Linked DNA regions of Coturnix japonica. The main gene of each other region encodes a partner of the protein of the gene in region 4 in a complex. Links are inferred from orthologs where the notes say so. Each region holds a gene or a part of one and is shown on either strand. Other genes may lie near its edges.

What was found.
Region 1: the proteins of SFN (region 4) and CDKN1B are in contact, whole or in part, in a crystal structure (PDB 7ORG), measured with the Homo sapiens proteins. The link is inferred for Coturnix japonica from reciprocal best matches to the Homo sapiens genes SFN and CDKN1B. Residues at the interface, in NP_006133.1 of Homo sapiens: Lys49, Arg56, Arg60, Arg129, Tyr130, Glu133, Leu174, Asn175, Val178, Glu182, Leu222, Asp225, Asn226, Leu229, Trp230; in NP_004055.1 of Homo sapiens: Arg194, Arg195, Arg196, Gln197, Thr198.
Region 2: the proteins of SFN (region 4) and NFKBIA are in contact, whole or in part, in a crystal structure (PDB 6Y1J), measured with the Homo sapiens proteins. The link is inferred for Coturnix japonica from reciprocal best matches to the Homo sapiens genes SFN and NFKBIA. Residues at the interface, in NP_006133.1 of Homo sapiens: Glu14, Cys38, Asn42, Val46, Lys49, Asn50, Gly53, Gly54, Arg56, Lys122, Arg129, Tyr130, Pro167, Gly171, Leu172, Leu174, Asn175, Val178, Leu218, Leu222, Asn226; in NP_065390.1 of Homo sapiens: Gly62, Ser63, Glu64, Pro65, Trp66, Lys67, Gln68.
Region 3: the proteins of SFN (region 4) and RIPK2 are in contact, whole or in part, in a crystal structure (PDB 7OBS), measured with the Homo sapiens proteins. The link is inferred for Coturnix japonica from reciprocal best matches to the Homo sapiens genes SFN and RIPK2. Residues at the interface, in NP_006133.1 of Homo sapiens: Lys49, Arg56, Arg60, Lys122, Asp126, Arg129, Tyr130, Pro167, Gly171, Leu174, Asn175, Val178, Tyr181, Glu182, Ile219, Leu222, Asp225, Asn226, Leu229, Trp230; in NP_003812.1 of Homo sapiens: Leu535, Gln536, Asn537, Lys538, Ser539, Met540.
Region 5: the proteins of SFN (region 4) and NPM1 are in contact, whole or in part, in a crystal structure (PDB 7OBG), measured with the Homo sapiens proteins. The link is inferred for Coturnix japonica from reciprocal best matches to the Homo sapiens genes SFN and NPM1. Residues at the interface, in NP_006133.1 of Homo sapiens: Lys49, Arg56, Arg60, Lys122, Asp126, Arg129, Tyr130, Glu133, Gly171, Leu174, Asn175, Val178, Glu182, Ile219, Leu222, Asp225, Asn226, Leu229, Trp230; in NP_001341935.1 of Homo sapiens: Trp288, Gln289, Trp290, Arg291, Lys292, Ser293, Leu294.
Region 6: the proteins of SFN (region 4) and MAPT are in contact, whole or in part, in a crystal structure (PDB 4FL5), measured with the Homo sapiens proteins. The link is inferred for Coturnix japonica from reciprocal best matches to the Homo sapiens genes SFN and MAPT. Residues at the interface, in NP_006133.1 of Homo sapiens: Asn42, Ser45, Val46, Lys49, Arg56, Arg60, Phe119, Lys122, Arg129, Tyr130, Glu133, Gly171, Leu174, Asn175, Val178, Tyr181, Glu182, Ile183, Ile219, Leu222, Asn226, Leu229, Trp230; in NP_058519.3 of Homo sapiens: Arg528, Thr529, Pro530, Ser531, Leu532, Pro533, Thr534, Pro535.
Region 7: the proteins of SFN (region 4) and TBC1D4 are in contact, whole or in part, in a crystal structure (PDB 7NIX), measured with the Homo sapiens proteins. The link is inferred for Coturnix japonica from reciprocal best matches to the Homo sapiens genes SFN and TBC1D4. Residues at the interface, in NP_006133.1 of Homo sapiens: Asn42, Ser45, Val46, Lys49, Arg56, Arg60, Phe119, Lys122, Arg129, Tyr130, Glu133, Gly171, Leu174, Asn175, Val178, Tyr181, Glu182, Leu218, Ile219, Leu222, Asp225, Asn226, Leu229, Trp230; in NP_055647.2 of Homo sapiens: Arg637, Arg638, Arg639, Ala640, His641, Thr642, Phe643, Ser644, His645, Pro647.

Annotation. Positions count from the first base shown.
Region 1 is NC_029516.1:66,307,381-66,311,670, reverse strand, and holds the start of CDKN1B (cyclin-dependent kinase inhibitor 1B), read right to left. Parts: upstream 2,812-4,290; 5' UTR 2,287-2,811; coding exon 1,812-2,286; intron 1,406-1,811; coding exon 1,284-1,405; 3' UTR 1,275-1,283; intron 461-1,274; 3' UTR 1-460. UniProt on the Homo sapiens protein: Important regulator of cell cycle progression. Inhibits the kinase activity of CDK2 bound to cyclin A, but has little inhibitory activity on CDK2 bound to SPDYA. Involved in G1 arrest. Potent inhibitor of cyclin E- and cyclin A-CDK2 complexes.
Region 2 is NC_029520.1:32,789,583-32,793,991, reverse strand, and holds the start of NFKBIA (NF-kappa-B inhibitor alpha), read left to right. Parts: upstream 1-1,374; 5' UTR 1,375-1,479; coding exon 1,480-1,793; intron 1,794-2,038; coding exon 2,039-2,147; intron 2,148-2,606; coding exon 2,607-2,817; intron 2,818-3,309; coding exon 3,310-3,398; intron 3,399-3,511; coding exon 3,512-3,772; intron 3,773-4,257; coding exon 4,258-4,305; 3' UTR 4,306-4,409. UniProt on the Homo sapiens protein: Inhibits the activity of dimeric NF-kappa-B/REL complexes by trapping REL (RELA/p65 and NFKB1/p50) dimers in the cytoplasm by masking their nuclear localization signals.
Region 3 is NC_029517.1:112,519,042-112,522,842, reverse strand, and holds part of RIPK2 (receptor-interacting serine/threonine-protein kinase 2), read right to left. Parts: intron 3,397-3,801; coding exon 3,347-3,396; intron 3,016-3,346; coding exon 2,854-3,015; intron 1-2,853.
Region 4 is NC_029538.1:1,605,045-1,608,504, reverse strand, and holds SFN (14-3-3 protein sigma), read right to left. Parts: upstream 1,904-3,460; 5' UTR 1,751-1,903; coding exon 1,010-1,750; 3' UTR 511-1,009; downstream 1-510. UniProt on the Homo sapiens protein: Adapter protein implicated in the regulation of a large spectrum of both general and specialized signaling pathways. Binds to a large number of partners, usually by recognition of a phosphoserine or phosphothreonine motif.
Region 5 is NC_029528.1:13,570,419-13,574,751, reverse strand, and holds the start of NPM1 (nucleophosmin), read right to left. Parts: upstream 2,826-4,333; 5' UTR 2,740-2,825; coding exon 2,676-2,739; intron 2,191-2,675; coding exon 2,111-2,190; intron 1-2,110. UniProt on the Homo sapiens protein: Involved in diverse cellular processes such as ribosome biogenesis, centrosome duplication, protein chaperoning, histone assembly, cell proliferation, and regulation of tumor suppressors p53/TP53 and ARF.
Region 6 is NC_029542.1:2,390,654-2,395,237, forward strand, and holds the start of MAPT (microtubule-associated protein tau), read right to left. Parts: upstream 2,977-4,584; 5' UTR 2,892-2,976; intron 175-2,891; 5' UTR 159-174; coding exon 95-158; intron 1-94. UniProt on the Homo sapiens protein: Promotes microtubule assembly and stability, and might be involved in the establishment and maintenance of neuronal polarity.
Region 7 is NC_029516.1:139,163,637-139,167,437, reverse strand, and holds part of TBC1D4 (TBC1 domain family member 4), read right to left. Parts: intron 2,376-3,801; coding exon 2,206-2,375; intron 20-2,205; coding exon 1-19.

The DNA.
Region 1 (4,290 bases), on a different chromosome or scaffold from region 4:
GGGGGACCCACGTAAAGGGACAATACATCTTTAAGGAATAAAAAGCCTACACTGCTTCTCTTCATTTCTTTGCTTGCTAGATGGCGAAAGCAAGTCTCCATCGGTCGCCCTCTTCCACTCCCCCCCCCCTTCCCAAAACGTTTATGTGCTACATAAGGTAAAAACTATATACACAGGTAGTACAATGAAGCAAATAAGGAAACACCTAATTGCACAATGCTACATCCGATGCTTTTAGAGGCAGGTCTTTTTTTAAGAGTGTCTAAACTTTTAGTGTTATTGTCTGCTTTTTTTTGTTTGTTTTGCTGAAGTTGTTTTTCAGTGCTTGCACAGGGTCCCCATCCCATGGAGACCGACGATATGTATTCATCTCTACTACGACTTTTTTTTTGTTTGTTTGTTTGTTTATCTTCCTGGCTTCACCGCCCCCCGATGAGCAAGGAAACACGAGTCCTCCGCCCTGCAACGGGAAGAAGACGGGGAGAAGACATTAGAGAGGCTGAAAGCGACGCGCTCCCTTCAACGGGCTCGTACCGCTCCCCGCAGCAGGGAAGGCCCGGCCCGGTCACGGCCCGTGCGTCGTCCCAGCCCCGCGGCACTCTAAGCCCGGCCGCCCCAGGGCCGTCGGCCGCCTCCGCTCGGAGCCCGTGGGGCCGGGCCGCCACCGGGCCGCGGAGCTGCCCCCGCCCCGAAGGAGCGGGCGGTGGTGCGCTATTTGCATAGAGGCGAGGGCTGACGCCTAACCCTAACCCCCCCACCCCCCACAGCAGGAGTAATTTGTTGCAACTTCTGCTTTGCAGCTTAATCTCTTCGGCACAATCGCGAACCGCGTTCGCAAACCTTCCCGCTAAACCCCGGCCCCGAAACCGCCGGCGCGATGTACCACCTCCCTCCGCCCCAGCCCTCGCGCTGAAACAAAACAACAACAAGAACACCACACACGGCTGCCATTAACCCGCTCCCTTCCCTGGAAACTCAGCCAGCGCCTGAAACTAAAACCACAACGACCGGGGAGGAGAAAAATAAAAAAAAAAAGAGAAAAACAACACAAAACCGGAGCACAAGCTCTCCTCTCTCAGCCCAAGAGGCTCCCGCTCAGCCCCGCTTTTATCCAGAGCCCTCCTGGGCCGGAGCTCCCTGCCACGGTGGGACAGTGCGAACGGCGCCGAGGCGGGGCAGCCCCCCAGCACCACGACGCCGCGTGAAGCCCGGTCCCGAGCTCGGGGCGGACACCCCCGAGGCATCCTAATGCCCAGAGCCCGAAGGGAACCTACTCGGGGAGTTTACGTTTGATGTCGTCTCGGGCTCGATTTCTTGGGCGTTTGCTCCACTGAACTGGCACTGGGGGAGTCTTCTGAAACCTCCTCTTCTGTTGTGTTGGCTCTTTTATTTTGAGGAGAGGAATCTAGGAGGGGAAAATTAAAAAACAGGGGGGGGGGAGAAGACCGGTTTAAAACGCTGTCCCGCAAGGTGCTCGCTCGGCACCCGGGGGCGGGAGGAGAGACGGGGCCGGGGCTTATTCCCGCACGTCCCCGCATCCCTACGTCAGCTACCGGGCTACGCGAAGGTGGGCGCGGACGGGCTTTTCTCTGGGCAAAGAGACGCGCGTTTTAGTTTCGCCCCGACTCCGGCGCTCGGAGCGTCCCCTCTTCTCCTCCGCAGAGGGGCTGCCCGAGGGGCGCCACTCGGTCCCGCCGCTCACCCGCGGTCCCCGCCGAGCGCGGAGCTCCGGGCGCTCGCGGGCGGCACCGGGGGCGTTCGGGCGGGAGGAGGCGGGGGCCGGGCCCGGCGCTGCCCGCGGGGTACGTTACCGTCGGCGGCGGGTCTTTTCCTCTGCCCGGCGCACTGCTCTGCAAAGTCCGTCTGACCGCCAGCAACACTGGTCTTCCCGCCTGCACAGTGGGTATCCTCTGAGATTCCCTGAGAAGAGGCGCAAATTGCTGTTTGGCAATTCTTGTTTTCATCCAGGCTCTGACAGACGATGGACTTGCATATGGCTTTGGGTAGCCTCAGTGGTCTGAAGGACAAGTCGGGCGAGCTCCCCTTCTCCACGGCTTGCCACTCGTACCTGCCTTCCAGCGGCTTGTGGTTCTGGAAATCGAAATTCCACTTCCTCTGGCATGCCTCTTCCATTTCCTTGCGGTGCTTCTTCAAGTCCCTGTTTAACTCTTCGTGGTTTATCGGCCCGAAGAGGTTCCTGCAGGCCGACGGCTTCGGGTACTCCGACTGTCGCGCCTCCATGCGCTCCAGGGTAGGGCTCCCATTAGAAATGCGGACGTTTGACATCTCCCCCTCCCTTTCTGCCGTCGCCGATGGCGCTGGGCTTTCTCGCGGCTCTCCCCGCTCTTCCTCTCCGCTCCTTACCCGCGGCCGCTCGCAGGTTCTCCTCCGCGGTCTGTCTCCGTACGGCCCCCTCTCTGCGGCCCCGCCTCGGCCCGCGGAGGAGAGGCGGCGGCGCGCAATTGCATAAGCGCCGGGCCGGCCGAACCCCGACAGCCGCCGCCGCCGGGCAGCCCGGGCGGCTCCGGAGGGGAGCGGCCGAGCGGGGAGCGGCGCTGCCCTCCGCGGCCCCGGGGGCGGCCTCGCGCTGCCGTCGGCACGGCCCCACCGCTGCCCGCACGGCCCCGCCGCTCTCCCCACGGCCACGTCGTACGGGCGGAGAGGGAAAAAAAACAAGGCGAGACGAGCCCTTTTCTCAGTTGCCCAATATGGCGATTGAAGGGAGGTTGACGAAGGAGAAAATGATTGACAGGACGAGTCTATTTAAACAGCGGAGCCGAGCCATTGGTTACGGCGGCCGGCACCGCCCCGTCGGCACGGCCATACCTCGCCGCCGCCGCCGGCTCTAAAGGTGGCCCTGGCCGCCGGCCGCCCCTCGGCGGGCGGGCAGAGCGTGGGGGGCACGGCACGGCTCCGCTCCGCGCACGTGAGCCCGCCTCCCCCTGCGGAACATAAGCCTGGTGAAAGTCACGCGAGTCGAGGGGACTAGCTGCATTTTGACTCGTTGTGGCTATCGCTCTGCTTGCACAGGGTTGGGCGGGCTGGGAGCTGCGCTCCGGCTGAGGCGGGGGAGAGGGTCACTGCCCAGCATCCTCGTAGTGCTGCCCGCAGGAGGAAAGGGAGAAAGCGAGGGGTGGCTTCTGCTGCACTGCCGGCAAGGAGGGCCCAGGTGTGGAAGGAGCTGTAAGAATTCTCAGCAGGGAGCTGTATTCTCAGTAAGCAGGGGAAAGAGAATGAAAACCTTCAAGTTTGTGTGTTTTGAAAGGTTAGTTGAGCCAGGAGTCATGGGCAGGGATTTTTGAGCTGTTTTTCTGATTGCTGCAGCAGGTCCGCTGGAGTTAAGAGCAGTGCAGGGTTCTCCTCTGGGCTCTCCTTGTTCACACTCACTCACACTACAGTCAGCATCTCTTGCTCAGCAGGACAGCCCCACACACTGCAGGATCTTTTCAGACACTGGAGGTTTGGGACTTCCCCAGGGCCCAGGTAACCTGGATACTACAGACCCCACATACCAAAGTGTCTGGCCTGGCACCCTCCACAAAGTCCAGCTGTCCAAAATCTTGTGGCCTTAAAGCTTTGGAGCTTTTGCCCCATCTGTACTCAGACACACACTTTGCTTCAGGCCTTGCAGTTGCAGTGGGCCACCAAAACCTACCCTGTAGTTGGTGCGTTTTGAACTGGAGCCTCACCTGTGCAGGCACTGGAAAGGGAACAAGATCAGCATTTAATGCTTATCCCCAGAGTATGGTTGTCTGTGGGCCTCCTTCCCTAAGGCAGCAGCCCCCTGCCTTGCTCAGCCTTCTGTCCTGGGTCAGCCTCTTGTCAGCACCGAGTTCAAAAAGGGATGTGAGCATCCAAAGAGAAAAATAAAAACACTTAAAAAACACAAGGTTGAAATAAAATGTCAGCCCTGCTATTTTTGTTTGCCAGAACTTTTACCACAAGTTGTTTTCCAGCTCCTTTCAGCAACCACAGGATCTACCCATTCACAGAGACTTGAAGCTGACATCCTGATGTCTGCATCTTTAGGTGTTTGCTGTTGGGATTTCTGGGTTGTTGGGTTCCTTTGCTTTGTTTTTTGAAGTTGCAACTCTGTAGAAGAAAAAAAAAAAGCCTGTGTGAGGTGGCAAAGTGGGACCTACTCATCTGCTTCATTCGAGGGCTTCTCTTTTTATTCTCCAGGCTTTCCTGTCTTTAACTTAGCCACCAGAGTTTTCCACTTCTCATGTGAGGTGTGGGACACTTGGGTTGTTCCCTTTAGCTGTGCACATGAGTGGCTATACAGCAGGA
Region 2 (4,409 bases), on a different chromosome or scaffold from region 4:
TAACCTATAAAAGAAAAAGTTGCCTGGCTTTCCTAAACCTGCCCAAAATCACCGGTGGCTGTCCCAGACCTTGAGATGAATAATGAGAAAAAGGCCAGGAATGGTATGGCTGGGCTGGAAACCAGGACCAGCTGTTTTTGGGAACCCACGTGCCCTCTCTGATCTTCCTCCCTCTTTCATCTCTGGGTTTTCTCCCAGGGCCTCTTGCAGAGAGACATCATCCCACGGGAAAGTGGCTGGAGCACATCTCGGGCAGTTAGTCAGCCAGGCCAGCAATTGCTGCAAGAGAAGAAAAATTCTTAATGGGAATCCCCCACATCTGAGTAGCAGCAGAGAAATTCACCAGGGAAAAGTTCGGCATCACTAAACCCACACTGACTTTAATCCTTATGAGAGGCTGCATTCAGCCAGCTTTCATTGCAAGCAGATGGGAGGGCACCAGTACAAAGCAGAGAGGAAAAAATTAAAATGGACATGGAATAAGGATGCTGACAGGATATAACACTTTTTAAGGGGGAAAAGGGGGTTTTTTGTTTGATTGGTTTTTGTTTTGTTTTTTTAATCTGCACAAACGTTCTGAAGGGTTCTGTAGAGTCCGTGGCAAGAACTGTGTGCAAAGAGTGGAACAGGACTTTCCTGCCTATTCCATCCCATGCCACTGAGACAGATTAAAATCTTCCACAGCAGAGAGGTGAGTTGTTACGAAGGCTGATGCCATACCTGCAGGCCTGCAGCCAGTATGACAGTTTAACACAAGTCAAGCACAAGACTGTATGAATCTCTCTAAACATATATATATATATATATTATCATTGTGACACCCTCAAGGCTTTGGGACATGGGGTCAGCGCAGACAAGCTCCTCTCTGCAGCCCTGCAGGGAAGTGTGTTGCTTCCCTCCCCCAGGACTGGTGCAGGACAGGCAGCCCCATAGGACAGGTGTGGGTGCTGCTGGGACAGCACGGGCACGAGGACAGAACACGTGTAGCAGGGTGGACTCAGCGTACCGACGGGAGCCTCTGCATCCACCCGTCTGGACAGTGACTGGCTTTACCGCGTCACTTCGCCACCAGCCGGCCGAAATATGCCCCCGGTCCGACGCAGGTCAGACGAGCGCTGGTTAATGCCTCCTCGGGGAGGCCCTCTCCCCGATCCGGGCGGGGAAGCCCCGGGCGGGCCGCGGTGCAGGGCAGCGGGCCGGGCGCCGCAGGGAAGTACCGCAGGCACCGCGTTACTCAGCGGGACGGCGAGTACTTCCCCCTCCCCCCCGCAGGCACGGCAGGGAATTCCGCCGGGCTGGGCCGGGCCGCGCTGCTTTGGGCCGGCCCCGTTCCTCCCCGGCCCGCCCCTGGCGCCGAGCAGGACCGGGCTCGCCCGAGTGGCTGGAAATTCCCGCGGCGGCGGCTCCTCCCCCGCAGAAATCCCCTCGCCGGGCTGTATAGGCGCCGCCGCCGCCGCCGCCGCCGCCGCTCACTCGCGGATGCCCGTCCGTGTCGGAACGCCGCCACCAGCAGCAGCAGCCGCGGCGCCGCGCCGCCCCTCCAGCCCCGCCGCCATGCTCAGCGCCCACCGCCCCGCAGAGCCGCCCGCCGTGGAGGGCTGCGAGCCGCCCCGCAAGGAGCGGCAGGGCGGGCCGATGCCTCCCGACGACCGCCACGACAGCGGGCTGGATTCCATGAAGGAGGAGGAGTACAGGCAGCTGGTGCGGGAGCTGGAGGACATCCGCCTGCAGCCCCGCGAGCCGCCCGCCCGGCCGCACGCCTGGGCCCAGCAGCTCACCGAGGACGGCGACACGTAAGTCGGGGCCGCGGGAGGCCGGGCCGGGGCGCGACGGCGGCGGGGAGGCGCCGGGCGGGGAGCGGAGCGGAGCGCGGAAAGTCCCTGGAGCGGAGCCAGGAAGAGGCGGCTCCGCGGTGCGGAAAGCCCCGGCTTTCGAAACCCGCACATGACTGCGGCCGTGAGCCGGGGGCCGCGTCAGCCGCGTCCCGCTGGGGGGATTTGGGTCTCACGTGGGGCGCTTCCTTTTTTCCTCGGTGCAGTTTCCTCCACTTGGCGATCATTCACGAAGAGAAGTCCCTGAGCTTGGAGGTGATCCGACAGGCCGGTGGCGACGGCGCCTTCCTGAACTTCCAGAACAACCTCAGCCAGGTACGCTGCGCCCCCGGGCCGGGCCGCCCCCGCAAAAGGCCCGCGGGGAATTCCCGAGGAGAAGTTTCTGTGTAATTGAATGGATGTGAAGTCGGAGCCCACGTTGGGGAAAGCACCTGGCTCACTCCATGCGGTGGGGGTGCAGCGCTTTGTCCTGCTGCAGCCTCTCGCGTTTTTCATACGCGATGCAATGGATCGCATTCCTCTCCATTGGGATGTTAATGATGCCCTTCCATATGGATAGAATATGTGATATCTGGAGAGCCCCAAGTCTACCATACCATACCATAGCTACCAGACTACAGAGCAGCAGTGTGCTGTGCCAGGAAGCGCTAAGAACTGACTTGCAGTACTTGCATTTGGGCAGAAGTCCTCAATAGCCACTGCAGGGTTTGTGTATTTGAACCTTTGCTAAACTTGTCACATAACTCAAAGCCGTGTGTTCCCTCCTGCCTGCAGACTCCTCTCCACCTGGCGGTGATCACTGACCAGCCTGAGATCGCCGAGCACCTGCTGAAGGCTGGCTGTGACCTGGATGTCAGGGACTTCCGTGGGAACACCCCGCTCCACATTGCCTGCCAGCAGGGCTCGCTCCGCTGTGTCAGCGTCCTCACACAGCACTGCCAGCCCCACCACCTCCTCGCCGTCCTGCAGGCCACCAATTACAATGGTACGTGTGCTCTGCCCTAGCAGAGATCTCAAGAGAAGTATCTTCTTCCCATTGGAGTGCTGAGGAGGGCCCAAAGCAAAGAAGCATCTGACTTCCTTAAGATGTTGTGGGTTCAGCCTTGCGGGCCTCCTCGCTCATGGTCATTGGCTCTCATGGGCCTTAAATTTAGTATTTTTAGTGAGTGCTTCTGCAGTACTCATAGCAGTTATGTTTTTGTGGGTTGTTTTTTTTTTTTTTTTTTAGAGGGTAAAGTTGTTACAGTAAGGCACAGTTAAAACCTAGAATAGATCCCCTAAGAAATCCAACCCAATCCAAAATCCAACCCAGTTATCCCTGTTATCAGGAAGCTGGAAAGCTGTTTTGAAAAACATGGTTTTGCCCCGGTTGATTTACTAACTTAGATACTCTTCTGTCTTATCATCTTGACTTTAAACAAGTTATGGGGCATTAGGTAAGACTTACTCAAATTTTGCCTTTGTTTTTATCTTCCAGGACATACATGTCTCCATTTGGCATCTATTCAAGGATACCTGGCTGTTGTTGAGTACCTGCTGTCCTTAGGAGCAGATGTAAATGCTCAGGTATGTAATTTATGCTATGAATTTAAGTGAGCTGTCTAGTCGGAAGAATCAACAGGTGTGACAGTGCTAAGCCTCACTCCCCTAATGCAATACCTCATGTTGTATCCAAACAGGAGCCATGCAATGGGAGAACAGCACTACACTTGGCCGTAGACCTGCAGAACTCAGACCTGGTGTCACTTCTGGTGAAACACGGGGCAGATGTGAACAAAGTGACCTACCAAGGCTACTCCCCATACCAGCTTACATGGGGACGAGACAACTCCAGCATACAGGAGCAGCTGAAGCTGCTGACCACAGCTGACCTGCAGATACTGCCCGAAAGTGAGGACGAGGAGAGCAGTGAATCAGAGCCAGAGTTCACAGAAGATGAAGTAAGTCCTGTTTGCTTCTTTTCAAGAGAAGAGTCACATCCTGCTCTTTGTTGTTTGGCTGGTACTGCAGTGAATGACCTCTTCCCTATGTAACTTTTGGGGGTTACAGCCCATGAAGTAAGGTTGTACTGCCAGCCATCAGAGGGGTGGCAGTTAGGGCAGGGTGGCAGTTAGGGCAAGGTTATAAACAGAATGAGCTTAGGAGTGAAATATAAATAATACAGTGGGTAACAGAGGGTAGCTTCACACTGTATTATTTCTCTGAGCTGATGCCTACAGAACTTAATGAGATAAAATAGTTAATGGGTGGGTTTGGTCTTCCCAGCATTTGTTTTTGTGATGGTTAAATAGCAAATGTAACCATTTCAGTGTAGAAGTTGCAGACGTACTGGAGTTAGGGCATGCAGAATTTGGCTGTTGTCCCAGAGTAGATGGGATAATCCTAGTAGGAGTTTGGCATTAACAGCACTTTGTTTTTCTTCCAGCTTATGTATGATGACTGCTGTATTGGAGGAAGACAGCTGACATTTTGAAGCAGAGGTTTCTGTGAAAAGTGACTATGTACATATGTAAAGGAAAAAGAGCCTGACTTTCTTCATTTAAAAGGAAAGTCTATACTCGAAGGAGAAAAAAGTGC
Region 3 (3,801 bases), on a different chromosome or scaffold from region 4:
TCACCAGGGGAGGTGGTGATAGTCAAAGCACTGTATTCATTGGATAAGACAAGTGATGGTATCTGAAAGCTCAGAGGCAGAAGCTAACATCATCTGCTTGCATAGGAAGCCATGTGACAGTTTAATAATCAAGAGACAGTCTACATGATGGTCCCTCATTTCCCAATGCTACAAGATTTCCAAAACAAATTATTTCACATTTTGAGGTGGGTATTACACAAATGTCTCCTTGAAGCTGTGCTCAAACTTCAGGAAAGGATAACAACAGGTAACAACTTCTAGTGCACTTCCTATGAACTCCACTGATTCATCAAAATCCATTTACTGTAGTAGGAACCTGTGGCACTGCATCTTATTAATGTATTACCATAGTTTTTACTGTTTCACTGTAGTTCTCCCAGAATAGCTCTTGTTTAACTGGCACTTTCAAGACATACGTTCAGTAGTGGGATTCTTGTTCTCTTGCATCAGCTTACACAGAATCTGGTACTCCATTTCACAATGAAGTACTAGGACAGTTTTTATTGATTTTAATTAAACTGCAGGTACGTGTTCCAAGACCACAGAATCAACAGAAGTTATGCAGAAACAGGGGAATAAATAGTCTTTGTCCGTTCTTTATAAGGGACAGATGAGTTAAGAAAACATTTCTATTTTAAGCATATTTAAAAAGGAAGGGAGGGGAGATGGGGGGGGAGAAGCTGGGTGTTACTTTCTTTTTCCCTGTGCTGTGGTGAATGCAAAATTTCCCAATCAGTGAAATTCACTTCCCTTAATTTTGAAAAACATTTCTAACTTCCTCATTCTTTTTATGATAGTAAAGGGAAAGCAACGCATGTTCTCTTCAAAGACCACATTAATTCAGGTACTGCATAGAACCAAAGACAGTTCATACAGTACATCTATCCCAGGTAATTACTCCTCCTGTGTGACCATAGACTTGGGCTGTCATTTTATTTTGAGTAACAGACATAAGAAAGCAAGAATACTAAAGGAAGTACTGTGACATGTTTACTTGTTTTATTTTTAAAAATATTATAAATAGATTTACTTACTCAGGGAAAAAATAATAATTAAACAGTCCATGATTTAATACCATATAAACCAGACTCATACAAAATAAATTAACATTTCAGAGAATACTTTTATGGCAAAGTAAAAAATGCTTCAAAAGTGGACAAAACTCTTTTCGGACTCCAAACTTTGAACATAAAGACGATAAATCTGTTTGGTTGCATTCTGTTTAGTTCTATTTTTCTGCAAAACTGGTCCGAAGAGTGAAGTTACAACCACTTATTTCTTAGCTGTCTGATTAGCATTATTCTAGTATACTGAAGTTTTATAAAGGGTTTAAAAATAGCAAGCTTTCATTCAGCAAATCTTCAAATGAGGTGCTTGGATTAATGTCCACTCTACTTGTAAGGAGCAATATACAACTCATAGGTTTATTTCAAAAAAGAATCCAAAAGTTTAGCAGATGACTGTTGAGCAAACCCAGAATTCCCAGCTTCCTCTCAAATAATGTGGAACTCTAAGACAAGTTTATTTTTTTCAGTCCAGATTTTGAATTATAATTAATAGCTAAGAGGCAGGAGGAGAACTGAAGCCATGATGGCAGCAGAGAAGCAAGAATCAAGAAGATCGGTTGCAAGGCTAATAAGCCATTTTAAAGCATTGCATCAAATTAAAACATTATATACTGTGTGAAAGAAAAGCTTTTCAAAAGCACTTATATGTATCTGATCGAGTTTGAAGACCAGATCTTGGGGTAGAATACAGCAAAAGCTAGAAGAGTGAAACGTGAGCATTCAGGTAATGAAACATATTGTTTATACCGAGGATAAAAGGATTAGGATAAAAGAAAAAACAAGATACTATAATTGCTGTTGATAAAGAGGATGGATGAAATACTCCTTTCATATCAGGGAGATTTTACACATGGTACAAAGAGACATGGTTTAATGATGGGAATAGATCATAATGACAGTTGGACTGGATGATCTTGAAGTTCTTTTCCAGCCTAGACAGTCTATGATTCTATTGGTGACTATGCCAACCCTAATAAGATTTCACAACTAAAAACTTGGTGATGACTTTCAGCCTATGTTTTTATAGAGCTGCTGTTGCACACAGAGCCAGAAATCACAAAAATATTTAGCAGCTTTTCATATTAGGGAGAAACTGGTATAGGGAGTATATCTAGGCTCAGTGCACATGCTTGTTAAGCATGACAAACCCAGGCTTGATTTCAAAACAGAATTTCTCTAGTTAACAACATGCCATGCTAATCTCTGCAAGCTCACTCTTCAATCTTCAGCTCTAAATTACATAATTCATTGGAAAAAGGCTGAAGTTACCTATATATAGACAAGAAACTACAGAAAGATTAAAAGGTACCTCTGTGGCCTCAACAATCAAAGTTCGAGTGAAAAAGATTCATCCATGCAAACATACAGAAATAAAGTGAAGTTACAGCAGCTCATCTGATGTGCAATGATTTGCTGCTTTGCCAGCTCTTACAAAACCCACAGCACTCTATGTATTTCACTCATTCTCCTCCCTCTTCTGAAAATAAGTAAATAAATAAAAAAGTCCCTTCAACAAGAGACGGCACATGTAGGAGACTCCAACTAACAAACTGTTATTATGGCACACATAGCTCCGTTCGTAAAAATTAGCTGATACACATGTTGGAACCAGACAAGAATTGCACACAATTTGACTGAGCAGAGATGAATTTTCTGACATTTTTGTCATTTCCATTTAGCAACTACACCCTTACTCTATATGTAATAAATGAGACAAAAAGCTGGCAATTTTAAGAACTGTATTCATTTTGCAAAGTAAACTTACTTAAGAACGATGGTCTTTCATCTGGGTTTTGTGCCCATCCACTCTCTATCAATCTTATGACAAGAGCTCGATGCGGAATGTCCATTGATAAGCTTTTTTCACTTAAGTCTAGTCGCTGTCCTTGTGACACACTATACATTATCTGCAAGGGGTTTATAACTTCTGTCAAAATAGACATCGTGCTTTCATTAGAAATATATGCAAAATAAATAGCTCACTGTAGGAAGAATAATTAAGATTGCAGTCGTAATATTTACATTTCACCAAAATAAGGCTTTCCTCTTTTAAAAGAATTCAAATACATTTTTTTCTTATCAATATTATAATTTGAAAAAGAGTCAAATCTGAGAAGTAACTCAATTACTTCTTGAACAGGTTCACAAATAGGATTATCATGAAGCAATCCCTGAAATGAAGTTCTGAGGAATCCAGGTCACTGGAACAGCCTACACCTAAAGCTAGAAAAATAAATTACAAGAAAACATGGCCTTACCTTCAAATGGGTGTTTCCTTGACATCACTTCCCATATAATAATTGCAAAACTGTTTAAAGTGTAAAAAGTATAGAAGACATTATTTTAGATTACCAACACTTACTGAAATAATATAGAATCATAGAATTGCACAGGTTGAAAAAGACCTTCAAGTTCATCACGTCGAACCACAGCCTAACCATACTATCCTAACTCTAACAACCCTCTTCTAAATCATGTCCCCTGAACACCACAAGCAAATGGTTTTTAAGCACATTCAGTGATGGTGACTCAACCACCTTCCTGGGGAGCCTATTCCAGTGCTTAACAACCCTTTCTGTAAAGAAGCTTTTCCTGATATCCAACCAAAACCTCCCCTAACATGACTTGAGGCCATTTCCCCTCAAGAGACAAACCCTGCTCTCCCTGTTATCAACCTTTCAGGTATTTGAAGAGAGCAATAAAGTCTCCCCCT
Region 4 (3,460 bases):
GGGACATTGTAGGGATGGGGACATCATAGGGATGGGAAGACCATAAGGGTGGAAACATAATGAGGATAGGGACACTATGAGGATGGGGACACTATGGAATGGGGACACCATGGGGATGGAAACCCTACGGGGATGGAAATACTATGGGGGTGGGGACACCATAGGAACATCTTGGGGATGAGGACAGTACAAGAATGGGAAAACCAAAGGGATGGAGACACCATGGGAATGGGGACATACAATTGCAGGGCTGGAGACCTGGGACATACTCTCCCTATGGAAAACCCACCTAGAAAGCCCATTCTGAGACCCGTCCCTGAGGTCTGGGGCTGGCTGAGTACCCCCACACCCCATGGCGGGGCTGGGAGGGGCTGCAGGCAGCCAGACCTGCACTTTGGAGGCCCCGAGTGCTCCCCAGCATGGCGTGGCACGCAATGGGACCGGCTGTGGGAGCTGCAGGAGCTGCCTGGGCTTGTGCACGACAGGAGAGATGAGGCGACCACAGAGGCAGACGTGCACGAGATGGTTTATTGGAGCCACACAGAGGCTTCGGCAATTCGCAATCCTCCATCCGGGTGGGGGGCACATCAACCCCCCCCCTCCCCTTTCTCCCCATCCCGTCCCATCACCTCCTCCCATTGCCCCCAAGGGACCAGCGGCACGGCTCTAGCCCCCCAAGACAGAGGGCTAGGGCCCCCCCTAAGCTACGCTGGGGTATCCCCCAAACAAAGTGTTAAAGGGGTGAGGGGAGCATGACAAGAACATGGGGGGGGGGAGAAGGAAAGGGGAGGCCCTGCCAAAGGGCAAACATATGGACCCCACTCCCAGAACTGGAGGGGGGGTAAGGGTGGGGGGGCGAAATACCTTCCCCACTCCTTAAAAAAGGAACAAAACAAAAGGAAAAGACACCGAAGGGCTTCGGGAAGGGGAAGGGGAAAGGGGGGGGAGTCTGGGAGGGAGGGGAGGAGGAAGGAGGTGGGGGATGGACCCCAGCTGCATTGGGGGCCGTTCAGTTCTTGGGCTCTTCGCCAGCCTCGCCGCCGTCTTCACCCGCGCACTCGGCTGTCCATAGCGTCAGGTTGTCCCTGAGCAGCTGCATGATGAGGGTGCTGTCCTTGTAGGAGTCTTCGCTGAGCGTGTGCAGGTCCCCCATGGCCTCGTCGAAGGTGGTCTTGGCCAGCGAGATGGCCTGCTCGGGGGCGTTGGCGATCTCGTAGTGGAAGACGGAGAAGTTGAGGGCCAGCCCCAGGCGGATGGGGTTCGTGGGCTGCATCTCCTTTTTGCTGATGTCCATGGCCTCTTGGTACGCCTTCTGGGCGCTGTCGATCGTCTCCTTGCGGTCGTTGCCGGAGGCCACCTCAGCCAGGTATCGGTAATAGTCTCCCTTCATCTTCAGGTAGAACACTTTGCTCTCTGCATCTCCGGCCTTCTTGATGAGGTGCTTCTCCAGCAAGCCCAGCACCACGTTGCAGACGCCCTTCAGCTCCTCTTCCACCTTCTCCCTGTATTCATTCACCAGCTGCGCTTTGTCGTCTCCCTCCTCGGTTTTGTGCTCGATGCTGGAGATGACCCTCCACGCCGAGCGCTGGCAGCCCACCACGTTCTTATAGGCGACGGAGAGGAGGTTGCGCTCCTCGTTGGACAGCTCGTCTCCATGCTCCACCACCGCCTTCATGAAGTCCGCCATGTCCTCATAGCGCTCAGCCTGCTCGGCCAGCTTGGCTTTCTGCACTTGGTGGTTTCTTGCCATGGCTGAGGGCGGATGAGGAGCAGGATGAGACGAGGAGTGGGGCCGGGAGCCGTCGGAGCCTCTGCTGAGCTTCACCGCCCCGATTCGCTTTTGGCTGAGCGTCGGAGCCCCGAGCAAGAGCAGGAGGAGCCAACGAGGCTGAAGGAGCGGCCTCCTCCTCCTCTGCTTCCTCCCCGCAGAGCCCGCCCTTAAAAAGCAAATTGCCGTGAGTCATCATGCCCCGAGGCACAGGGTGATGGGGAAGGGGTGAGCGGGTGGCACCCACCCTGCCCTGGATCAGGTGGGTGCCGGGAGGGAGAGGATGTGTTCAGGGAGTTCATGGTGAGCCCCCCCTGTGTCAATGGGATGTCCCACTGGATCAATGGAGAAGTCTGGATCAATGGGACATCCTATGTCAGTGGGAGACTCTGAAACAATGGAGGAGGGAAGATCAACTGGGGACCCCGGATCAATGGGAAACCCCAAATGAATGGGAGACCTAGAATCAGTGGGGACTCCAGATCAGTGGGGGAGCCTGAACCAGTGGGAGAGCCTGGATCAATGGGATACCCAGACCCACGGGAGACCTGGAATCAGTGGGATCCCGAAATCAATGGGAAACCCCAAATACTTGGAAGACTTGGGATCAGTCAATGGGATCCCCAGATCAATGGGGGACCCTGAGTTAATGGGGGAAACCGGATCAATGGGGGACCCCAAATAAATGGGAGACCAGGAATCAATGGAGATCCCAGATCAATGGGGGACCATGGACCAATGGGGGAACCCTTCCCCATCTGCCAGGAGTGCTCAGAACAGGGAGCAGTGGGGTCGTCACATTGGGGTGAAGCAGGAAAGCGGCAGCACCCAGTGCCCCCATCCCAACCACCCTTAGAGAAACAGCACGGGGAATAAACCTGGCTGTAAAAATGGTCTCCTCCCCAAAAATCCCATCGCTGTCATTTTTATATGATGATTAACTTGTCGGTGATTGCAAGGGCTTGAAGGGCTGGTATTTATTCCCACTGGTGGGGAAATCGAGGCAGGAGGAGCAGCACGTTACCCCAGCACTGCTGCAGGGATCAGGGCCAGGATTGGGATTGGGGCATTCCCAACTCCTCCACCCTGCCTGCTCAGGGGGAATTGCCCTGGCACTTGCAAGTACTCAACCCCAACCCCCCCATTGAACCATCATTGGACATCCCCAAACCCAAGGCAGCTCCACACCCACAAACCCCACTGGATCCCCATTAAGGCTTCTCCACCACCCATCCCCATGTCCCCCACCCTCTCCGCTCATCCCACCGGGGCTCTTTTCTCTCCCTTTACGCTGTACTGGAAGAATTGGGATTATTATTCCTTCTTTTTTGTCAGTCTCATTTTGATTCGAGTTCTGCCCAGCAGCGCTGGCGGCCCCGATTAGGATCTGAGCTCGGCGTTGCGCTGCAGTTTCGCTCTCAGCCTGTTCCCACACGCCGGCACAGGGCAGGGTGCGGCGGGCAGCACGTGGGGATGGAGCCAAGGGCTTCACCAGCGCTGTGCCAGCACCCTCAGCCCCATCCCTGACATCCTCTCCCCATTGGGGTTGCTCAGGGCTGGCAGCTCTTGGTCCCAAGCTTATGCGGTCCCAGTCCCCATCCAGCCACATGGTGGGGGCTGTTGAGTTTGGGGCTCAAAGTGGACCCCCCGTGAGCACTGCTCGACCTCATGGATGCACAGGGGCTGTGGTTT
Region 5 (4,333 bases), on a different chromosome or scaffold from region 4:
AAATTGTAGCTTGAAGGTAGCAAACAAGTGACAGACATAAACCAGGCCAGAAATTCCAGTTTTCTGAACCTCTGGCATCTGAGTCAGAGTTATATGCAAGTCCTCTGAAAACCAAGAACTTCCTCAAGTACTACAATTATCTCTGAGGCAAGCAAACATGGCTTACTGCATCCCTTCCCAACAGCCATGAGAAGAAAGCTTCTCACTCTTCATGAATTAAGTGTGTAAGCACTTCACAAAGACAGTGGCATGCTCAAGCTTCCATTCCCTATGACATGTGTTTTAAGCAAGTGATCACAATCTAGGCAAAGCACATCAAATGAAGACTAAGAAACAGGATGTAGGCTCCACTACATGAGGCAATGTTTTATCATGTGAATTAGAAGCAGTGATATTGGTGCTCTGATCTCACCTCTCAAATGGATCCGCACTACAATCAGCTGGTGGGACTGCCCACTAGGATGAGAATTTCATTTTAAAGCATGTCCTCCCTGCCCACAGCTACCTACCCCTGCCATCTATACCAGTTCAACCAATATTATAGTAACTAAGATACATTTCTTTACTGAGTGGCTGGCAGGCATCCATTTACATGTCTTGCCTTCTACACCAAAGTTAGACTAAACAATAAGGGGAAGGAGGCAGCAACCACTCCACTAGCTAAGTGAGCCTAAAGATGTAAGTTAACCCTCATACAACTTTCTACCTCTACACACATCAGTGCTCCTCCCCTTTCATTTTCATCCTTCTTTGTCCTCCCTTCCCCTCCCTCCCCAGCACAAATTCAGCCAGAGACTTAAATTACACGTGTCTACCTTTATTCATTTATACTTTCATCCTGAGCACAGACACAGTGTTTACAAGAGTCATGCTTTATCTTCCAGAACCTCCTTACCCTGCTTAATAAGCCATCTCTTCCTTGTAGATTCTTTTAAGAGATGCCAAGCTTAAGACATTACTAACCTGTTATTTCAATCCCCATCATTCTTTTTGGTCATCTTTTTAGTTTAAAAATCATGCTGCTGAATAAGACTTTTTTTCCCCACATGGGAAAAAATGGCCTAAAACTACATTCTGCTAAGCATAGAATCTGCTCCATGCTCAATGAAGACCCCCCCAGTCCATCAGGAGATGCTACAGCTCACTTCTAAAGTGAGAATCTTTAGACAAATCCACACAACTGAAGTATCACCATGTGACAATTCTTACTTTGTTACAGCCATACAGGTATGAGAACCACCTGCATCAACCTTCTCAAAGAACTTCCCTCAAAACAAACTCTAAAGGGCCGACAATTGTGTCTAAATTGCTCGTTGTCAAGTCCAGACTGTAATATCCGTGAAACAAAAGGGTGAAGACGTGACTCACACAACTAATGTTGAAGTGAAAGCATCCTAAGTATCGTTCTGATAAGGCTGTGCATTGAACAACATTAACATCCAAATCTCCTGCAAGGAGCAATTCTCACTTCTAGCTTAATTTTTTCTTTTACATTAAGGTGTAACCTTCATGTTTAAATATAAGTGAAAATGCAGAGGCACCACGACTTCCTTGGCTGGGAGCTACAAACTCATTGCAAGTTAAGTTGCATCACCTTGTATTAGTGATGAGGAAAACAACACAAGCATGCTCAGCCTTGAGCCAAGGCCCCAAAATACTGTGCCCTGCTCAATGCCACAGGCCCCAAAAAGATCCAAGTCCACACATTATTAGCAGTTTGTGGGGAAAAAAGCCCAGAAATTACAACTGGGGAGTATATGAAAGATCCATTTCAAAGTAAAGTTCCTGTGCTCTGCTGCAATGTGCCCTCTATGATTAATCTAAGTCTTCCCCTCCTCGTGCTCCTGGAACAACTGAATATTGCACTCAATGTCAGCTCCAACTCTCGATTCCTTCCAATAAACATTTATTAACTCACTGGACATAGGTTACCATATTCTCAAGCTTGTATTACTTGTAATAGCCCACAAAACATCGGTACTTATTTAAAGATAAATCAGTTCAATGCAGTGAGTTTACACACCACATTGGCCTTCTCACAGCAACCACGCAGCACTACTTGAAAACCCCACCTCAGAACTCGAAAAGTAGGAAAACAAAAGCTACTTACCGTTCTCAAGGACAACTGATGCTCGTTCTCTTCATCATCTACTTTGAACTGATACTCCTTCTCCGCTTTAAGCTCACAGCCTGTAATGAAGAGTGAGCAGACGACAGAGAACGATGAGCCTCATGGCCAACCTCCCCCGTTACTCCATAGCCCCAACGTTTAGGACACATCCACGTTTAGGACACGTGCTGTGTTAGGCCCAGACCTACGGCCGACCACGCGGCCGCTCTGCAGGCCGCTCCCCTCCCGGTGCAGGCCGCATCTCACCCCCCCCCCCCCCACATACTCCATGTGTGCTGCAATGGCCGCAGGTCCCCGCACGCCGCTCCACGTGCTCAGGGTCTGAGGAACAAAAGGGCCGCATCGCCACCACATACGGAGCGGAACCGGATCGGAACCGGAGCGGAACCGGAGCGGCCCAACGCTCAGCGCTGCCCCGCGGCCTCCTCCGCCTCCTCCCACTCCAATGCGGCCCAACGGGAGCCCCCTCAGGCCCAAGGCCCAACCAACCGCCTCCACCGCGCCCTACAGCCCCCAGCACAGCGTGGGGAGCCGATCCCGTTACCGAAGAGGAAGGTCTGCGGGCGCAGCGGCCCCATGCTCTCCATGTCCATAGCGCTGTCCTCCATGTTCTCGGCCTGCTCTCTCGGCTGGATCTGTGCACGATGCGGCGCGGCGGGCGGACAAGCACTAAAGGAAGCCCCGCGCCCGCCCCCCTCCTATATATAGCCCGCGTGTTCTCGCGAGATCCTCGGCCGTGGAGGAGGGTCGTGATTGTGGTTGTGGGTGATGTAAACGGGGCGGATACAAAATGGAGGCGGTGTGTGGGATGTGATGTCACCCCATTCATTTCCAACGTGTCCTTCGTGCTCCTCATCCCTGTGTACATGTTCTAACAGTACCAACCGGTCCCGTTACCAAATCCCGTTAGCAAATCCCGTTACCGAGATGTACAAATGCAGTGCTTTGTGCTGGGACTGCTAAAACACCACAAATGTGGTGTGAATGAGGATTAATTTATTAGGGCTGCATGGACCACGAGCTGCATCCATTGCAGTGTCAAATCTGAGCTTGCTAAAAGGCATTTTTAAGTTAAAGGGGATAAAGATAAAGTGTGTGCTGCTCCACATGGATGCAAGACAAGAGCAACACCTGACCCACCATTGCATTTGCTGCCCACCATGAGATGGATGCCAAGCAAATTCGGTTCCTTTAAGCTGGTCACAAAGCCAGATGGGTATGGAAAGACAGGAGAAGTCTAGGGGGAAGTTCTTTACTAGGAGAGTGGTGAGGCCCTGGAACAGGCTGCCCAGGGAGGCTATGGATGCCCCGTCCTTGGAGGTGTTCAAGACCAGGTTGGACGGAGCCATGGGCAACCTGATCTAGTAAAGGTGTATGTTTGGTGGCCCTGCCAGGCAGGGGGGTTGGAACTACATGATCCTTGAGGTCCCTTCCAACCCGGGTCATTCTGTGATTCTGTCAAATGTGATTCCCTGTCAAAGGGAAGCAGTGCAGCCCCAGAACGTTCCTCTTCAGACCGAGTCACTTTTAATTCAATTACACCCATCCATTACCGAGGAAATAAATGCGGGAGGAAACAAAGGACAGACGCAGGGAAGCAAAAACAGGGGTAGCAAGTAGGAGATATATGCTTACTGCATCTCGTTTGGCTCCATGGGGCTTAAGAAGGGCTGTCATATATCACGACATTTATTATTCCTTCCATGTACTAGGATGAGAAGTCCATTACAATATCGATCATTTTATTCTGCTCAACCGTATGCCATCTAATATTCAGCATAGCTGAAAAAGCTTAGGAGTGATTTAGAAATAGCTGCACTGGGAGAAGTGAGGAAGAAATCGGAGTCAACGTGGTTTCCCTTAATGGAATTCTCTTTCTAGGAGGCTTTTACAAAACTTAGGAAATCACATTTCGAACACGGTTAAAGCCACAGCATGGCTTATGTTACAGACATAAGATAGATTTCCTATGCAATCTCAGTTTGCATGCTGATGTGATGATACAACCTTCGTGTACCTGTCATGTACCCCTCCACAGTTCGTGCCCTAGAGAACTCCAGGGGAAGATCTTAAAAGGCACCAGAACTTACCCTTCCTTGATGTCAGAAATAACACCTACAGACCTGAAAGTCCATGTGTTTCCATTGAACTGAGTGACACAGGTGATGCTGTCACTAGGACACTGCTATCAGTACCTGGTGG
Region 6 (4,584 bases), on a different chromosome or scaffold from region 4:
CACACCCCATCTCCTCCTGGCTGCCCCCAGGGCTCTGCTCCCCCTGCATGGCTCACTCTTGTCCTCTGCACCATCTCCTTGTGGATGTGCTCACCTGAAGGGACGTGCTGCCTCTCCTGGTCCTCCACGTTGGTGACATCCTGGTGTGGTTCTGCCATCTTGCAGCCAAGTTACCTGAAGAAGGAAACAAAAGCAATGATTGCAAAGCCTGGAGCCTTGTTGGTGTGCTCCAAACCACCTCAGCTCCATCCCAGGAGCATCCTCTGGCCAGCAATGAGCCAACAAATGCACGCTGCCTCCTCAGCCACAGCAAGAAGGGAGCTGCTTTATCTCCTTTCCTTGATGAGACCCCAAATCACATCACAGTGTGCAGGGATGCTCAGGATACACAGATGCCCATTGGGTTTCACATCACAGTGTGCAGGGATGCTCAGGATACACAGATGCCCATTGGGTTTCACATAGCTGTGCTCAAACACTCCCCAGAGCATCCTGTGCCCCCACATTCACCAGGAGCACATTCCACCCGCACTCATTGAGCAGTGCAAAGTGCTAACACACCAAACCAGGACCTCAGGGGGCTTTTAAAAGTGCTTAAAGGAAGAGAACCCAACAACAAACACAAGCTGCAGGCACCATGCCTGTCCTTCTGATTGGACAGACATGGATTTTAGTTGACTTCCTAATAGCTGATGTAATTACAGCCACTGGCAGTGATTAATAACAGGCTATTAGTGTAATCGTGTGCTTGCCATGACCGTCAGGAGCAAATGGATGCAGCAGTGAGGCTCGGGTCACTGCAAGCAAGGAAGCAAACACACGTGGTTTTGTTTGCTGGCAAGAAATAAACAGGATATATGGAACCGAGCAAGAGAAGCTCCAATGGCAGTAAGCAGAGCTCCTGCCCAGCTTCTTTAAGCCTTAGGAAGATGAATGTACAACTTCACTGCTGCCTTTGACAGCCACAAAGCTTGGACAAGGACAGCCCTCCCAGCCCAGCTCACTGAGCACCCACACACCTTTGTGTGTGCTGACCCAGATGCAGACCATCCACTCATCCCACTGCTGGGTTCCAATGATGCTCACGTCCTCCTCTCCTGCCCCCCCCCCGCCCCAGTGTTTGGAATGGAGCTCTCAGCACCTCTCTTTGAAAGTCACATTTAGTGCTTTCCTGCCTCTGGACAAGAATTTCCTGGGCCACCATCCAGCACTGACTCCTGGCTCCACATCCAGCTCACATTCCCAGCCTGGGGCTCATCTGCCCGTTCTGTGGACAGGGTTCAGCTCAGCTCAGCTCAAGACGTCCCACTTCTCCTCCGAGCTCAGCATTTCAGCATCTGTGCAGCCCTGGCACGGCAGCAGCCAGCAGTGATTCAGCAAAGGCCATGGAGCCGCCTGCCTGCAGTGCTGGCTCTCACTGCTGCTTTCTGACACCAGGAAACGTTTGGCTGCTTCTTAGGGAACCCGTCGGTCTCACTGTCTCTCTATGAGCTGCAAAAAAATCCTTTAATGCTGTTCTGCTCACAGCTGGGCACAGACAGCCCTGCTCCCATTGAGCTCCATGCATGGCTGGAGCTGAAGGAGCGGGGATGGGCTCCTAATTAATTTTGCAGAGATAAGAGCTGCCCGTTAGGTTACAAGGAAAAAAGCATCACCTAAAGCCACAAAGAGCCGAGGATTAAATCACCCAGATGCCCCCTGAGAGCTGCAGGACACACAACTGTTTGGACAGAGGGACTTTGGGGAGCAGCAGCATCTCCCAATGGGGCTGGATGGCTTCGTGCTGTGCCTGCAGGGCAGCAGGATGGAAGCAGGCTCTCCCTGCAAGGGCTGGGATGCAAAAGCATTACAACAGGGCTGATAAAGCTTCAGCACAACAGAGAGGTAAACAAACGACACCAAGCAGTCCAGAGGGTGAGGCCAAGTGAGCCAGCAGCACCATTATCTCTTAGCTGCAAAGCTCTCCCAGCTGGGTTGGAAATACACAGGCTGTATCATCACGCAGTCATATTCAACACTATAAAGGCGTTTTATGCCTCTCTGATGGATGCTGGAGTCCATTCTCCCCCACATCAGCTAAAAGCAGGATCAGAACATGAGGGGGATGCACATAGTTGTGGCTCGGATCCGTCCTGCTGCAACCAGGAAGCAAAACCAAAGGGCTCATCCACAAAGCGCTTCTTATTCTAAGGGGGGTTGAAAACTGCACGTCTATGAGTTACAAACAACATCTGAGATGACAAACCTTCTGCTTCTCAAGTGGAGGAGGAGGAAATCCCTCCCGTGAAAGGGAAAAGATGTTCCAAAAGGCCGTAAGAACAGCCTCAAAGCAATGGGTTGGGAATGAGTAACTCAACAAGGAGAGCTGCAGAGCTCAACGTCAGCAGGGCACCATGCAGGAGATAAAGCACACAGCCCTACCAAGAGCCTTATCCCCTTCCAGCAGGACTATCCCCACCAAACAGGGGCCCTATCTAAGCAGCAACAGCCCACTGTGGTGTTAACAGCCCCTCAAGCCCCATTAACAGCCCCAGGCTTCCCATGGGGGCACAGATATCCGAGCTCAGCCCACCAGCACCATTAACTCCATACACACAACCCAGTCAGGTCCCTCAGCCTAAAGGTGCCCCCTAAGAGTCAAACCCAGAGTCAAAGCCAGCAGGATCTGATGCCAAAGTCCCTGCAGGGCCACCAGCAGCATCAGGATGTATCACCATCCATCACAATGGCACTGCACAGCTCTCATCCTGCTGCTATGGCCACACACTGTGCCCTCCAGCTGGGAATGCTGATGTCCCAAATGAAGCCTGGCAGCTCAAACTCTTCCTGCCTTGATGTGACGTTTCCCCGCAATGACAGGTGAATAAAAACCAGGGCTGAAAACAACGTACCCTATTGATAGCAGCCTGGGTTGGCTGAGAGGAGGAAAGCAGATGCTGGGGACCACACAGCTGTGCTTGGGTGGCACTCAGCCTTCTGTCCTGTGTGACAGATGACATCACAAAGGAGCAAAACCAAAAGGCTTCTGGTGCCAGGGGCTGAGCTGTCCTGCATGCTGTGTGCATCCCCCCACCCCCAGCAGCCCCAGCATCAGCTCACCCTGCCAGCTCTGCATGGATTCAGGGCTGTTCCCCACAGCCCCTGGGATCACAGAGCTGGGAACTGATGCTTCCATTCACATGGGCTAAAATTCCCCATATAAACCATGGATTGACAGACCTGCTGGTGGCCATTATGGGCCATGCATTTCTGCAGTGCTTGGAGAGATGCAGGCTGTGTTTGCACGCTCTGCTGCACACCCCAAGCAAGCACAAGGGGAGCAGCTGCATCCCAGCTCCTGCTCAGCTCCTTCCTTCCCCATTATTCCACCTGCAAGGGTGGCTTGTGTTACTTGAAAGCTCAACAAACATGAGCCAGCCTCGTGTTCCCTCCGACAGGTGATCAAACACAAACAGGTTGGGATGGGGTTGGTTGTTTTTTGCCCCCATTTGAATTACTCAATTAAAACGGAGCGACGGCCCCGTGAAATAACAGCAGCTTGAAAGGCTCTTCATAATTCATAAGCAGCTTCTTTTTCATCTCCTTTGTGCACTTAGCTCTTCCAAGGAGCTTGACAGGCGAAGGAATACGGGCAGTGATCTCATCAACTGCAAGCAAAGCTTAATATGGAGCGAGATGAGAAATCACAGCAAGGCAGGGGGGCAGGAAACTTCCTTTATGTTCAAAGGCAAACACAGAAGGAACTGCAAAAGGAATCCTTTCAGAAATGCATTCTTCATCATTGCTCACCTTTAACCTGTGTGTTATTAAGGCCTGGGTTACCAAGACCAGGCAGTGAATGCTCCACAGCTCTGGAAAGGAGCATTAAAAAGGAATAGCAAAGTTGGGGCTGCAAACACAGGAGCTCAAGGAATGGTCAGTTAAATACCCCCTTACAAACCCAACCTGTCCCAGCTCTGAGCACTGCATGCCCTCACCAGCTGGCTCAGGTTGCCAGAGACAAGCCAAGTGATGCTCACGTGCTGGCACGTTCCTCAGCATTGCTGAGAATTAAACTAACAGAATTTGCCATCCCAAATCAGCTTAAGGGCTGGCTCAGCAGCTGCCTCCTCACTGGGTGGCAATTAGGAGGGCAGATTATCCGAGCCCACCCTGAGCAGTGAGAGCAGCCGGTCCATGGGGAGCAGCAATGGTTCTGTGCCCCAACAGCACAGCCCTGCAAACTGGAACCTGCTGGGAGCCACATTGCATTGCAGGAATATGAAGCCTACACCTTGCATTATTGCCTCACCCCAAAACCACACACCTGAGGGCCAACCCGCTGCTATTGCTGCCACCCTTCCCTCATCTTCCATCCCTTCCTACCTTTCTTCTTCCCTCTGATCCAGCTGACCGAGCAGAATGCAATGCCCTGCAGCACCGATGTCCCTGTGCACACCCAGGAGGAGCACAGCACAGTGAGCTGCTGGAGCTGCAGAGCAGTTCTGCACCACGATGCAAAGCTCAGGCCGGCCCCAAACCCACTGACTTTAGCCAGATTAAAGCTCCGATCAGAGGGGCTTACACAGCAGCAAAAAAGGAAGC
Region 7 (3,801 bases), on a different chromosome or scaffold from region 4:
AAATATCCATCTCAAATACCTGCCATGAGATAAAAGAGTTTTTAGCTACGTCAGAAAGACAGCATGTTTATTCCATTTGAAAGTTTGTCTAAGAGAAAACTTTGATTATTCTATTTTCTTTCTTATACCTTTCAAAAATAAACTACTTTTAAAGCAAGAATATTTTAGCATATAGACTTCAGAATAAATCTAGTCACTACAGTGTTGCCAAATATCACGTCTTGCTATCAAATCTTATCATCTTTTGTGCAGGAGTGCTAAGTTGAAGACATACATAAATATATATATAATTAAAGACAAAAGGGTGATCCAAGACAACCATCAGGGTCATATTACCCCTTACTGTTTGTATACCTAATCACAGCATCTCAGCTTCTGAAAATTAACAGATACTTTATACTGGGAAGGATGACTACTGTGATATCAATTTTGTTCCTTATTACAGAAGCCACAAACATTTCACAAGCAGAAGAGACAAGAATCCCCCAACATGTTTTGCTCTACATTCACTACTCTTCAGGTTATTTAAAATGAGACAGAACATAAAAACATTCATTCTAGGTAAATGCCATTTTCCTCTGCCAACTACTCAGTCAACTCTATCAGTGCATTATAGACCTGCATAACTTTCATTATCCTGCATTTTTCTTTCATTATCTGCAATAACAACGGTCCTGAGAATGACTACATTAAGACAGACAAACGATTTCATCTGCAGCAGCCCAGTAAGAGTGATATGATGCAAGCAGTGGGCACATGAATGCAGATCCAGAAGGCTGACCAGCATGGGACCACACCACAGGCAGGCAAGTGACCTTCATCTCAGAGCTACGTTGACCCATGTATAAACACACCCATTTCCACTCAGGTAACACACACTGATATTTACTTGATCAGATATGGCTCTGCTCTGCACAAAACCATTTCTACCATTCTCATCATAGCAAGGTTGCTCAGCAAATGCACACAGACAGCAGGACAGAGATTTATTTTCCACAGTATCAAAAAAGATTGAACTACCATCTCTGCCACTGGAAAAATTACTGAGGTGCGAAGATAAGACACTGAAGTGCCTGACATGGGTTCAGCATTGCTATCACAGTCAATATAAAGAGGAAGTGAAGATTTAAATGGCATTAACAAGTGACTTAACTGACAGCACTTGAATCATTCCAGTGTTACCTGAGCCACAGGAATGTACCAGTATTAACTGAACTCCTGCATGGAGAGATGGTTTTCTAGAGCTCTTCTGTTATCTCTAGTTGCCACAAGAAGATGGAAAACTGCTCACTCATTCCCAGCTCAGGTAGTAGACTGAGATTCACGTTCAACTTCATCATAGTATCATAGTCTTATGCGGGTTGGAAGGGACCTTAGAGATCATCGAGTCCAACCACCAGGATTCGAGCCTCCTGTGTAGCAGACTGGCACTTTTACCACTTGCGCCACAGGGGGGATTCGAACCCAGGGCCTCCGGTGTTGCAACGCGGCATTCCTACCACCTGCGCCACCGGGGCACACAAATTTGCATCTTCATTGCAAAGAAAGAAGATATAGAGAGATGAAGATCCTAAGCACTGACAGTACTTCAAAACAAATTAGGCACTTTCCCCTACACCAGCACCAGTAATTCTTTGTTTATCTTCCATTCACAGCTTTTGCCACCATTTTGCAGTGACGTTGCTTTTGCACAGCTGATGATGAAATGTATAACCAAAGTCATATTTTCTCAATAGCTTGGATAGGAAAACATAAACCTCTTTTGTATTTTTAGTACTAACTATAATGTAGAAACTAAAGTCTTTCTAAAAATCACAGTTTAAAACCCACTGAAAACTACATCACACAATCATAGAAGGGCTGAGGTTAGAAGGTATCTCCTGAGGCTATCTAGCCCAAACCTTGCTTCATCAGGGCCATTTTGAGCAGGGTGCCCAAGTCCACATCCAGGCAGTTTTTGAAGACCTCCAAGGAGATTCCACAGTGTCTAGGGGGCAGTCTGAACCAGTGCTCCATCACACATGTGGTAAAGAAGCACTTCCTGATGTCCTATTTCTACACGTTACTAGGAAAATGAATCCATTGCATTTCACACCAAAAGGGACATCCTGAGAATACTTCTACATACTCTGTAGGCCCTCCTTAGGCACAGACTTCTAGAAGGATACTAAATTGAAAAAGAAGTAGAGAGAAAAACAACTTTACCTGGGTAATAATCTTTTCCATTTGAGGTTGAGTCATGTCTGGAATAGTGGTTTTAAGAAAATCAACAATATTCTCAAAACTCTCACATCCCATTATAGCTGTCTCTTGACTGCTAAGTAGACTCAGTGCTACTTTAAATATGACTTCTGTTCCTTGAAGAAAAATAATGTCTAAAAAAGAAAATAATTGAAATACCATGAAAATGAGTGATTCTTTTTGTGATTTATTTTTTATAGCAACCATTCTGCAGATTTATTCAGTTCAGAAGTGTAACCTGTCTTAATTCAGCATGAGCCTAAAACATACACAAGCATTTCCTATCATCTTGCAAATGACATGCTTTCTATGTCTACAATAGTTGTCTGCAATAAACATTTCATTACTGTCTACTCAGCTACAGGCTGTTAACTAACTGCTAACTGATTTTAAATGCATCTGTGACTGAAAAACAATTGTGAAGTGAATCACATCACAGCATATTGATGTTTTGCTGTTTTCTACATGTAGAAGCTAGTCACACAATTGCTCAAGTTGAAAGGAACCCTTTAAAGGTCATCTAGTCCATCTTCCCTGCAATGAACAGGGACACCTACAGCTATATCGGGTTGATGAGAACCCTGTCCAGCCTGACCTTGAATGCCTCCAGGGATGGGACATTCACCACCTCTCTGGGCAATCTATTCCAGTGCCTCACCACCCTTATAATAAAAAACTTTTTCCTTATATCCAGCCTAAACCTTCCCTGTTCTAGTTTGAAACCATTTCCCCTTGTTCTATTGCAACAGACACCCTCCTCTATAGAGACTGTCCCTTCTTATAGCCCCGCTTTAGAACACTGATAGGCCACTATCAGGTATCCCCAGAGGACCTGACAGTCCTCAAAAATGATCACGAGATTTCCACTACCAACCATAACTTTCTCAAAACCCTTCACAGCCATCACATTAGCTATAATTTATGCTTCAAACCTTTATTTTGAGGTAATTATATAATAATTGCATGGTAATTATATAATAATTGCATGGGTGCGAGGGGAACGTCCAGGCCCTGCACAAGTCAGTCGAGGCAGACTGCACAGAAATTAGAAATCTGATTATTAACTAAAAGCTCAGTATCAGAAGTGGAATAGAGTGTATTGAGATGAACACAACACATGAACAGTTCAGACAAGACTTCTGTGCTCTTGGGCTTCGTTACGCCAGCAAGAGCAGGGCTATGCTGCACACCTCAGCCTCCAACACTGATACAGTGAGGCCATTCTTGACCCTAGTCAGACACCACAGGGTAGCATCAGGACACTGAGGCAGTCATCCTTTTCAGACTGAGTTTCTAAAACCTTCCCTTCTCAAGTCTAGGGTACACATTTAACCAGAACAAGCACATTCCATAAGCATATAACTTGTAATTGGTAGACATCAGCCATCTGTTACCAGTATGTGACAACTGCGTGTAAGACACTGAAGAGAATCATAGAATGGCCTGGGTTGAAAAGGACCACAAAGATCTTCTAGTTTCAGCCCCCATGCTAAGTGCAGGGTCACTGGACCAGCTGCCCAGAGCCACATCCAGCCTGGCCTTGAATGCCTCCAGACACAA